2 linked regions of the Oryctolagus cuniculus genome follow. The protein of the gene in region 2 binds, or shares a complex with, the protein of the main gene of each other region. Links are inferred from orthologs where the notes say so. Each region holds a gene or a part of one and is shown on either strand. Other genes may lie near its edges.

Region 1 (5,727 bases), on a different chromosome or scaffold from region 2:
ACAGAGACCAAAGCATCAGGGTAGAGTTGATTCACAGAGTTCTGGAGAAATACAAAGTCATTACAGTTCCAATCTCAGATGCTACTTGAAAAGCTACTTCAGAAAACATAAAGAAAAACCTGGTATTCATCAGAAAGAAAAAAAATAGCCATTCGCTTTTGTTTGCAAGCGTTTTTTAAAAAATAGCTTCTTTAGGGAAGACATTTGGCCTAGCAGTTAAGATGCCACTCTGGGAAACCTCATCCCATATGGTAGTGTCTGGGTTTGACTCCAGGCTCCACTCCTGATTTCAGATTCCTCCTAACGCTCACCCTGGGAGATGGTGGTGATAGCTCAAGTAGTTGGCTTCCTGCTGTCCATGTGGCAGACCTGGGTGGAGTTTCTGGTTCCTGGCTTTAGCCTGGCCCAGCACCAGCTGGTGTGGGCATTTGGATGAAGATCTCTGTCTTTGTCTCCATCTCTGTCACTCTGCCTTTCAAATAAATAAAAATGTTTAAAATCTTTCATTTAGTTGTTTTGTTAGTGTCATGTTAGTTAGCATGTCATGTTAGTTTCACACATTTTTTTTTAAACAAAAATATATGCGATATACTGGTGTTGCAGGCAGTAGCTTAATCCACTACACCTCAGTGTGGGCCCCTAGTTTTCCAGACTATACTAAGTAATTCTTAGATTCTTTTTGGTTGTGCCGTTAACCTTCTTTTTACAACTTTCTTCATTTGAAAGACAAGAGTGACCTAAGGAGGGAGAGGCAGAAATCTTCCATTGGCTTGTTCACTCTCCAAATGCGTGCAATAGCTGAGACTGGGAAGGCCAAAGCCCAGGAACCAAGAATCCCATCTGATTCTCCCACATGGGTGGCAGGAACCCAAGCCCTTTGGCCATCATCTCCTGCCTCCCAGGCACATTAGCAGGAAGGCGGATGGGAAGGACAGCCAGGACACTATTCCAGGCAATCTAGTAGAGGCTGTGGGCGTCCTAAGCAGCGGGCCAGAACACCCACCCCAACTTTGCTTTTCTGGACAATGAAGTAGGCTGAAAATGGGATGAAAACTATGGGTCCTCTCCACAGAAAAACGCACCTGCTTCATAGGGTTAGTTTAAGGAACCTTCTTCACTCGTGGCAGAATCCCCGCTTCAAGCAGCAAGGGTAATTTTTTTTTTTTTTTTTTTTTTTTTTTTTAGGATTTATTTATTTGAAAGGTAGAGTTACAGAGAGACAGGCGGATAGAGAGAGAGAAGGAAAGGTCTACCATCCACTGGTTCACTCCCCAAATGGCCGCAATGGCAGGAGCTGGGTCCATCCAAAGCCAGGACTTAGGCCATCTTCTACTGCTTTCCCAGGCCATAGCAGAGAGCTGGATTGGAAGTGGAGCATCCGGGTCTGGAACCAGCGCCCATATGGGATGCTGGCGCCGCAGGTGGCCCCCTTAACCGCTCAGGCTTTCTAATTTGTAGCCTTCCAGAAAGAAATTTCTTATGTGGACTTCAGTTGCATTATCTGTGAAAAGGGGCTGAGTGTAACTGATCTGTAAACCCTTTTCTGGCAAGGTGGGCATCATCTAGACTCTAGAGTTAGCAATGCCGAAGGAGCAAGCAAACCAGTTTAGGCGAGGGAACTGGATGGGTTTACCAATAAAGGGGTCGCAGAGGTTCAGGTGGCAAATGAACCTGGGAGCCACCTCACAACCTGTGGATTTTGCAAGTCATTTCCTCCCTCCGGGTTTGTTCCCTCCTGTGCAGAATAAGGAGGCCCTGATTCTGGCAGCTAAAACACCCTTGGAGCAACCGAGTCTAAGACGCCGTGAGAAGAATTAAGATGAAGATGACGGTGGGGGTGGGCACACGCGAGAAGGGCGGCCCCGAGGGCTGTGAGGCAATACTGAAAGCTCGGGCAAGAGGCACCTATTTCACACCTCGAGGGTATCCGGTCCCAACCGCACACCGCCGGGGTCATTCCGCCTCCGTCCCGGCCCCGCCTCCGCCGGCTCCATCTTCCTTTCCCTCCTCTTCTCCACCTCCCGCCCCCAGGCTGCGCCCTGCCACACTCAGCATGGCCGCCGCAGCGGTCCGCTTTCCACGCCTCCACGGCCGCGCGCGCTCTCGCGCCTCCACCTCGCTCTGCTCCCTGCCTGCCCTCGGCCTCTTCCCATTGGCCCACCCCGTAAGTGACGTAAGTGTTCCATTTTTCCTCTCTGCCCCCCCAACCACATACCGCCCCTTTCTCCGCCCCGCCCCCTCCTCGGTTCTCCCTGCCTTAGACTCCGCGGCGCGGGAGGAGCGAGGACAGCTGGCTGGACCAGGAAGGCGCTGGCGGAGGCGCGCACGCGCACGCGCACGCACGCACGCACGCACGCCGGCTGCCGGAGGGGCGGCAGGCTCGCGCCCGGGCTCGCCCTGCGCCGCGCCAGAGGCTCGCGCACTCAGCAGGTTGGGCTGCGGCGGCGGCGGCAGCGGAGGAGCTGGGTGTGAGAGGTCCCGGACGCGTCTGCGGCTACCGCTGCGCCACCTTCCGCCTCTCCCACCCCAGTCTCCGTGCTGGGCGCTGAGGAAGGGAGCGGTGCTAGCCTCAGGAGCCCTGAGCACAGCCCTGGGTGTTTCGACACCGCCCTCCCTCGCCTCCCAGCCGCGGGCCTCGCTCGGTGTTAGGCGACTCTGCGGGGAGGCGGCGGCTGCTGCTGCTCGTCTGTGGCGAGTCCCGCCGTCCTCCAGCCTCGCTGCTCCGCCGGGGCCCTGCAGGGGCCGAGAGAGCTCGGCACTCGCCTTTCCGCTCGCCCTTATCGGCAGCCGGTTGGAGCAGCGTCGGTCCGGGCGGTCTCTGGGCTGAGGCGGCAGCAGCTCCTCCGGCTCCATCATGTCCGCGGGCGGAGACTTCGGGAATCCGCTGAGGAAATTCAAGCTGGTGTTCCTGGGGGAGCAGAGCGGTGAGTGCGCGGCTCCCCCACTCCTGGCAGCCGGCCGCGGCTTCCCCGCACCGCCCCCGGTGCGGCCCTCCCGTCCGCGGAGGCTCCCTGCCGACCTCGCGTCCGCGCTCCGCTCCACCCCGGCCCCTCTTGGCCCTGCTCGCTGGGTCGGGTTTTTCATTTTTCCGCCGGCCCCGAGTCCCGAGCCTGCCTGCTGCCGGGGTCCCCGCAGCCCGGCCCGTCCTCACCCCGCCCAGCCCCAGCCGCCTTGTCCATCTCTTTCTTCCTCCGGGCCCCAGCGTCCTCTCGACCCCCCTGCTTTCCTGAGCCCCACCCTTGTCCCCTGCTCCGTCCTCAGCTCGCGGGCGAGGTGAGGCCCACCCCGGGAAGCCCCCGCTCCTGGGGACCGGCCCTTCTTCAACCTTGGGCACGGCGGGTGGGAGCTGGGCGTTGTTTTCCCCAGAGGCTTGGCCCTTGGAAGTGCTGAGCTCCTGGGAGGGGAGGAGTGGTGGGCGTAGGAGAAAAAAAAAATCGCGGCAGGTTTTCACCTGGGTGGGGAATTGGTCTGGCTGTAGAGGAAATATTTCAAAATTGGGGGCGATTTGAGAATGGGGTGGTCGGGGGTGAGCGCGGTGTCGTCGGCAGTGGCGATTTTTTTTTTTTTGCCCCATGGATTGGGCTGTGGCTTGTCGGCAAAACCTTATTTTTTCTCTTGACTTTCATCGCCGACAATTCTTTGGGCATTGTTGATGCTTTTTCGATCTCTGCCAGATGCTATGTCATGATCGTTTTACTTGGAATTTTTCAACATCTCACCTCCCCTTTTTTCATCAAGAAGCAGTGTCCGATTCTCCTCATGGTGGTGCACACAGGAATTACTGGGAAATGTTAATTATTCATTTCTTCTTGAGTGTTTTCCAGTTTAAATATATATATATATATGATTTATGTGAGAGAAGGCTTAGGATGAACATCTTTTGTAAGATTTCCTTTGGGTAATGGAGTAGAGTAGGAATAGATTCATCATCTAGTTACCTAAATTAGATTTAAATGCCATTTGGGCTAATTTTTTTTTAATGCTTAATGTTTTATGGTATCTGATGAGTGAAATTGTTATGTCATTTACCTGGTCAGGATTGTTGATGTATTTTGTATTAGATACAACATCTTAATTTTGTAATGGCTGTCTCTAAGAGTACTTCTTATGGTAATGATAGTTTTATGCTATATTATACAAACTTGACAGTAATTGAGAGAGTCACCGTCCTTTGTTTCTCTCAAATTTTTCATGACCATCTTTAATTTCAGAAATGGAGAGACTAGTACCAAGTCATCAAGTTTTGGAAATCTAGTTATCTTAGGTGAGGTTATAGAAGCCATTAGTTATTTGCTTTGACTGGAAGGCATATCAATGATATAAATTCATAGCTGTTACTATTACCTTGAACTATTTATACTAATTTGTATGACAATATAGTAGGTTAATGCTTGTTGCAAAATTGCCTCCATTTGGACCTAGAAAATAACTTGTCTCCTTTCATACATGGATTATCTTCCCTTAACCAGAGGAAGGAAACGATCTCCCTCTCTTTGCATGTGGATTTTCCTGAAGTATGAACATGTTCCTTTAGGTGAGCAAATTGTTAGAACCCATGGAACTGGTTCAGCCATTATTATATGGCAGTTTCAAGAAAGTGCCATGCATAAAATACAGTTTATTGGTCATTATTGATAAATAGACCCTAATGGGCTTATTGTGCACTTTAGGGATGTTATTGCCTGCCTTATGTTGTGTTGCAGAGCCATTTAGTTTGCATGAGAAAGGCATTAATCTTTGTGTCTGGGAATACTTCAGCATAAATAGAGATCTTTAGTCTGCAGGATTCTTTTGAATTTCTTAGGTGTTTATGTTCTAAATTACAGAGTTTTGTTTACTTCCGTTAGCTGTTTTATTAATTCTCTACTCCTATAATTCTTGAAGCCTTGTGAGATTACAAAAAGAAAATGGGCTTCATTTTTTAGAACAGTTTCAGATTTGCAGAAGCATTGAGATGATAGTGTGGAGGGTGTCCATATATTCCTGCACCTGGTTTCCCCTGTTACTGACATCTTACATTAGTACGATATGTTTATTAACAGTGAGCCAGTATTGAGACGTTATTAGCTAAAGTCCGTAATTTAGATTGCCTTAGTTTTTAACTCATGTTCTTTTTCTGTTTCAACACTCAGTTCAGGATACCACATTACGGTTAGTTGTCCATAGGCTCCACTTAGACGGTTTTCAGGATTGTGTTTACATGCTTTTTTCTCTGAATTGTGAGGTTAATTATCTTTTGAAGGCTACTGTACTGCTAAGTAATATTACCCAATAGCTTTGACAATGAAAGATTGATCTCACTTTCTGTGGTCAGTGTCTAGTTTTCTTATGCATTAGCAGAGGTCTGTAGAATCTGTCATCTTGATGTAATTCTTCATGAATTATTTATTTTTGGATCTGTTAGAATTCCACAATTTAGCTCTCAAAGCCTGTACTCTATGGCAAAGCCTTGTTTGTTTCTTTAGTAGCATTTACCTCATTTATAATTATATTATTTTTTGTTGTTGTTGTTTTTGTCTATTTCCCACAGCAAGATGCAAATCCCGTTATTGTTTTTGTTCATTGTGTTCCCCATTGAGTGCTCAGAAATATTTGATAAAATAGTGGTTGAATCTAGTAGTAACCAAAGGTTGTAGCCTGTGCTATTTTTCTGCTATGGTGAAGTTAATTTTTTGTTTTTTGTTTTTTTTTTAATTTATTTATTTTGAAAGAGTTGAGGGTAGGGTA
Region 2 (5,237 bases):
AGCTACAAGAAGAAATACAGAAAATTAGACCAGCTTTTGAGGAGCAAATTTTATATTTACAGAAGCAGTTAGAAGCTACGACTGATGAAAAGAAACAAGAAATTGCTCACCTCCAAAAAGTTATTGAGTCTAATTCTCAGCACTACCAAAAAGATATAAGTAGTTTGCAAGAAGAGCTTTTCCAGTTGAAAGCTACACACCAAGAAAAGGTCAAAGAATTGATGTGCCAAATTGAAACATCAGCTAAGGAGCATGAAACAGAAATAAATAAGTTAAACCAACTAAACGAAAACTTAGTAAAGCAGTGTGAGGCAAGTGAGAAGAATATTCAGGAGAAATATGAATGTGAATTAGAAAACTTGAAGAAAGCCACCTCAAATGCAAGCCAGGAAAGTCAGATATGTTCTGTGCTCTTAAAAGAAGATACTGTTGTAGACCAGGTAGTAAACGAAAAAGTCAAACACTTAGAAGATACCTTAAAAGAACTGGAATCTCAACATAGTATATTAAAAGATGAGGTAACCTATATGAATAATCTTAAATTAAAACTTGAAATGGATGCCCAACATGTAAAGGATGAGTTTTTTCATGAGCGGGAAGACTTAGAGTTTAAAATTAATGAACTGTTACTAGCTAAAGAAGATCAGGGCTGTATAATTGAAAAATTAAAATCTGAGCTAGAAGATTTAAATCGACAGTTTTACTGTACTGTAGAAAAACATGACAAAGAAGTACAGAGTCTTAAGGATCAATATCAAAAAGAAATATCAGAACTAAATGAAACATTTCTGTCAAGTTCAGAGAAAGAAAAATTAGCATTAATGTTTGAAATACAGGGCCTTAAAGAACAATGTGAAAACCTACAGCAAGAAAAGCAAGAAGCAATCTTAAATTATGAGAGTTTGCGAGAGATTATGGAAATTTTACAGACGGAACTGGGAGAATCTGCTGGAAAAATAAGTCAGGAATTTGAGTCAATGAAGCAGCAACAAGCATCTGATGTTCATGAACTTCAGCAGAAACTCAGAACTGCTTTCAATGAGAAAGATGCTCTTCTTGAAACTGTGAATCAGCTCAAAGGAGAAAATGAAAAGTTACTGTCTCTACAAGAATTAGTACCAGAACTTGAAAATACCATAAAGAGCCTTCAAGAAAAGAATGAAGAGTACTTAGTTAGCCTCAGTCAGAGAGATACCATGTTGCAAGAATTGGAAGCAAAGATAAACTCCCTCACTGAGGAAAAGGATGATTTCCTAAGTAAAATAAAAAATTCTCATGAAGAGGTAGATAATCTCCATGAAAAATGTGAAAAGCAGGAAAGATTGATTATAGAACTTGAGGAGAAAGTGGAACAGAGTACCCAGTACAACAGTGAATTAGAGCAAAAGGTAAATGAATTAACAGGACAGCTAGAAGAAACTTTAAAAAAAAAGAACCAAAATGACCAGCAGGTAGAAAAACTAATGGTTCAAGTTAAAACTCTCTCTGAAGACCAAGAAGCATTGGCATCTGAAGTGAAGTCTCTTAATGAAGAGAATAATAGACTAAGTTCAGAAAAGAACCAGTTGAGTAAGGATTTGGAAGCTCTTTTATCTGGAAAAGATGATGTTAGCCTTAAAGAACATATTACTGAATTAGAAAAGAAGCTTCAGTTAACAGTTGAAGAGCGAGACGATTTAAGTAAACTGTTTGAAAATGAACAAGCTCAGAAGTTATTTGTCAAAACACAGTTGTATGGTTTTCTTAAACAGATGGGATCGGAAGTTTCAGAAGAAAATGAAGAGCAAGATGCTATAAGTGTCCTACAAGCCATAGGTGAAGCCTTAGCAAAATTAAATGAGGAAAAACATAACTTGTCTTCTCAATATGATGAAAAGGTATTAGAGTTAGAAAAAAATATTAAGTTCCTTCAGGAAGAGAATGTAGTTCAATGTGAAGAACTTAGATGTTTATTAAGAGACTATGAGCAAGAGAAAGCTCTCTTAAGGAGAGAGTTAGAAGAAACCATTGCAGAAAAGGAGTCTCTGCAATTTGATCTTCTAGAAATGAAAAATGCCAATGAAAAAACAAGGCTTGAAAATCAGAATCTTTTAATTCAGGTTGAAGAATTGTCTCAAAAGTATGACAAAAATGAAACCCATAATGAAAAAGACTCTTTCATAATGGAACATGAAAACCTAAGGTCATCACTGGAACAAAAAGAATCTGAATTACAAGATGTGAGAGCAGAGTTGATGTTATTAAAGGTACTACTTAATTCAAGTTCTTAGTTCTTGTCATAGACTAGAAAATATAAATATAAATGTTTTTATGGTTTGAAGTCAAAAGTATTTAAACTCAAATGACACATTTCTGAAAAATACATTAGACATTTTATTACAGTATATCCTGTTTAATTATACTGATTTCTTCTTTCACTTGAGATCATTTTAAAATTTTGAACTTAAGATTAAATGATTAGACATTTAAATATCATGATCAAAAGTGTATAGCTGGTTAGTGGGAAACCATTTAGATATGAAAAAACGTAAGTCATTTTTGTCTGGTTAGATTTTTTTTTTTTTTTTTTCTTTTTGCACTGTCAATCTGAAGAGTTGGCTGTAGTGGTATTTCGCTTTGGCTAAAATTGCAGGGTTTTCTCAAAAATGTTGTGAGGGCCGGCGCCACAGCTCACTTGGCTAACCCTCCACCTGCAGCGCTGGCACCCTGGGTTCTAGTCCCAGTTGGGGCGCTGGTTCTGTCCCGGTTGCTCCTCTCCCAGTCCAGCTCTCTGCTGTGGCCCAGGAGTGCAGTGGAGGATGGCCCAAGCGCTTGGGCCCTGCACCCGCATGGGAGACCAGGAGAAGCACCTGGCTCCTGGCTTCGGATTGGCGCAGTGCAGTGGCCATTGTGGGGTGAACCAACAGAAGGAAGACCTTTCTCTCTGTCTCTCTCTCACTGTCTAACTCTGCCTGTCAAAAAAAAAAAAAAAATGTTTTGAAAGTATGATAATGACCAGTTCATCTTTTCCTTATTACGTATGTGTAAGGTTGTTCATCTTGGCCTTTGATACTGCTGTTTCTAGTACATGCCAGATGCATAATAGGTCAGTATTATCTGCTCTGTCACAGGAAGAAAGACTGTTGACCAGATTACTTTTTGTACGAATTCTCTTCGGTAATGATTTTCTCATGCTTAATAAGATGGTCAGTTCATCATGGGGGATGAAATGAATTCTTTTTTGTTTTTGTTTTCCCTATAAAATCTAGGATTCTTTAGAGAAAACACATATAAAAACTGATCAACACTCCTCAGTGAAAGATCTGGAAGAAAAAATCGGTAATTACACTTTTATAAATGTTGTCACAAATTGATTAGAAAAATTCTTGTTACTGTTGGAATAGAGTGGGAACTGTAAAGGCCAGGTAGTGAGTTGTTAAGTGGCAGTCCTTACCTCACACCTCCTTTCCCGTCTCCTGCCATCTGTGTGCCTTTCCTTTCACAAATTTCACTGTATAAATGGTTCCACAAATTTTTTTTAAATTTTTTCATTCATTTAACAGTCTTTATTTGAATGCCCACCTGTTTAGTTACTGGCAACAGAAAGGAGATGAATAAGGTGTGGACCATGTGCTCAAAGAGCTGTCAGGAGAGGCTGGTGCAGTACTAACAGCACAGGAAGTTGCCTGTTTCAAATCAGGACCTAAGAAAACATCACAGAATAGGGCCTTCAGTTGGGTATTGAAGAATGAGAAATTGAACACGAAAGTTTGGCATTTTAGCAAGAAGCAATGGTAGATATTTGTGTGTTAACATAAGCAATACCAAGTAATATATTGGGAGGTTCTTGGAAAGTTAGCCAGGAACCTCACCGCAGTGTGCTATGTGATACACAGAAGAATTGGTGGTTTACGCGTAGCCATTTACTCCTCATGAGCAACATTCACTCCCATGTGAGATGAGGACAGGGACACAGTGTTGTATATAATGTGCTCATGGTTCCTCAGTGTAACACCCAGTTAGAGTGGGGGTGGGGGTGGAAGAGTAGAATGACTCCCAGTTTTCTGTAACGTGTGATTGCAGCAGGTCAGGAAGCTCAGATGCTCAGATTTAGACAAGTTTAAATACGAATCCAAGCAGAGATGTCACACAGAATGGCATGCATATCCAGAAATAAGGGGAAAAGCAAGGCTAGAGATAAACATTTGTTAAGTAGTGGGTATTAAGAGTCACAAGATTGAGTATCACCAAGAGTGTAGAAAAAAGATGAGAACCAGAGACAGTTCTCTGTCCTTTAAAGATAGAGGAGGGAGTCACAACAAGGAAGATTGAGAAGGAGCCCCATAAATTAGGAGAACCTAGAGCATAAAACATTCTAAAGCTGGGGCTGGCACTGTGGCATAGCAGGTAAAGCCACCGCCTGCAGTGCCAGCATCCTTTATGGGTGCTGGTTCGAGTCCCAGCTGCTCCACTTCCAATCCAGCCAGCTCTCTGCTATGGCCTGTGAAAGGAGCAGAGGATGGCCTGAGTCCTTGAGCCCCTACACCCGTGTGGGAGACCCAGAGGAAGCTCCTGGCTCCTGGCTCGCGAGTGTTCCAACTCCAACCATTGCATTTGGGGAGTGAATCAGCAGATAGACAATCTCTCTCTCTACCTCTGTAACTCTGCCTTTCAAATAAATAAATACATCTTTTAAAAAAAAAAAAAATTCTAAAGACAAGTGAAAGAAGTCCTTCAAAATGGGAAAAAAAAATGTTTAGTCCTGGCCTGTACTGCTGATGGGTTGACCATGTGCTCATCAGCATAGAAGTTGGTGTCTGGGACTCTGACCCAGAGCTTATTTGAAGTGGATTCCAGAAATGAAAGGGGAAGAGACGTTTCAGAGCAGTTATAGACAACTCTTGCAAGGAGTTGTGATATACAAGAGATGGGCCAGTATCTAAAGGGGCAGGATGGTTTATTTTTTATCGGAGGAAAGGACAGCATGGTGAGATATTTCACCTGCCCTATCATGATCTCCTCCTTTCTGTCTTCATCTGCTTCCACTGGTTCCAAGGTTCCTGACCTTAATTTCCTGATGATATCTTCCTTGCTGCATATTTATAAACTGGTGAGAGAAACTCACTCAAAGGGGAAGCTGACACATAGAAGGGAAGGGAAATTCCTCCTCTGTTGCTGGAATAGGTGAAGAGGGTGGAATGAAGTGCAGAACACATACAGTTCAACTGTAGGTGGCAGCCATGAAGCACAGGTGCAAG

Evidence for each region.
Region 1: the proteins of GCC2 (region 2) and RAB6A are in contact, whole or in part, in a crystal structure (PDB 3BBP), measured with the Homo sapiens proteins. The link is inferred for Oryctolagus cuniculus from reciprocal best matches to the Homo sapiens genes GCC2 and RAB6A. Residues at the interface, in NP_852118.2 of Homo sapiens: Thr1585, Ile1588, Leu1589, Glu1591, Gln1592, Leu1595, Leu1596, Glu1599, Arg1602; in NP_942599.1 of Homo sapiens: Lys15, Ile46, Gly47, Ile48, Trp67, Arg74, Phe75, Ser77, Leu78, Ser81, Tyr82, Asp85.

Annotation. Positions count from the first base shown.
Region 1 is NC_091432.1:65,087,904-65,093,630, reverse strand, and holds the start of RAB6A (ras-related protein Rab-6A), read left to right. Parts: upstream 1-2,337; 5' UTR 2,338-2,854; coding exon 2,855-2,924; intron 2,925-4,469; exon of another isoform or gene 4,470-4,497; coding exon of another isoform or gene 4,498-4,534; intron 4,535-5,727. UniProt on the Homo sapiens protein: The small GTPases Rab are key regulators of intracellular membrane trafficking, from the formation of transport vesicles to their fusion with membranes.
Region 2 is NC_091433.1:100,348,478-100,353,714, reverse strand, and holds part of GCC2 (GRIP and coiled-coil domain-containing protein 2), read left to right. Parts: coding exon 1-2,246; intron 2,247-3,248; coding exon 3,249-3,318; intron 3,319-5,237. UniProt on the Homo sapiens protein: Golgin which probably tethers transport vesicles to the trans-Golgi network (TGN) and regulates vesicular transport between the endosomes and the Golgi.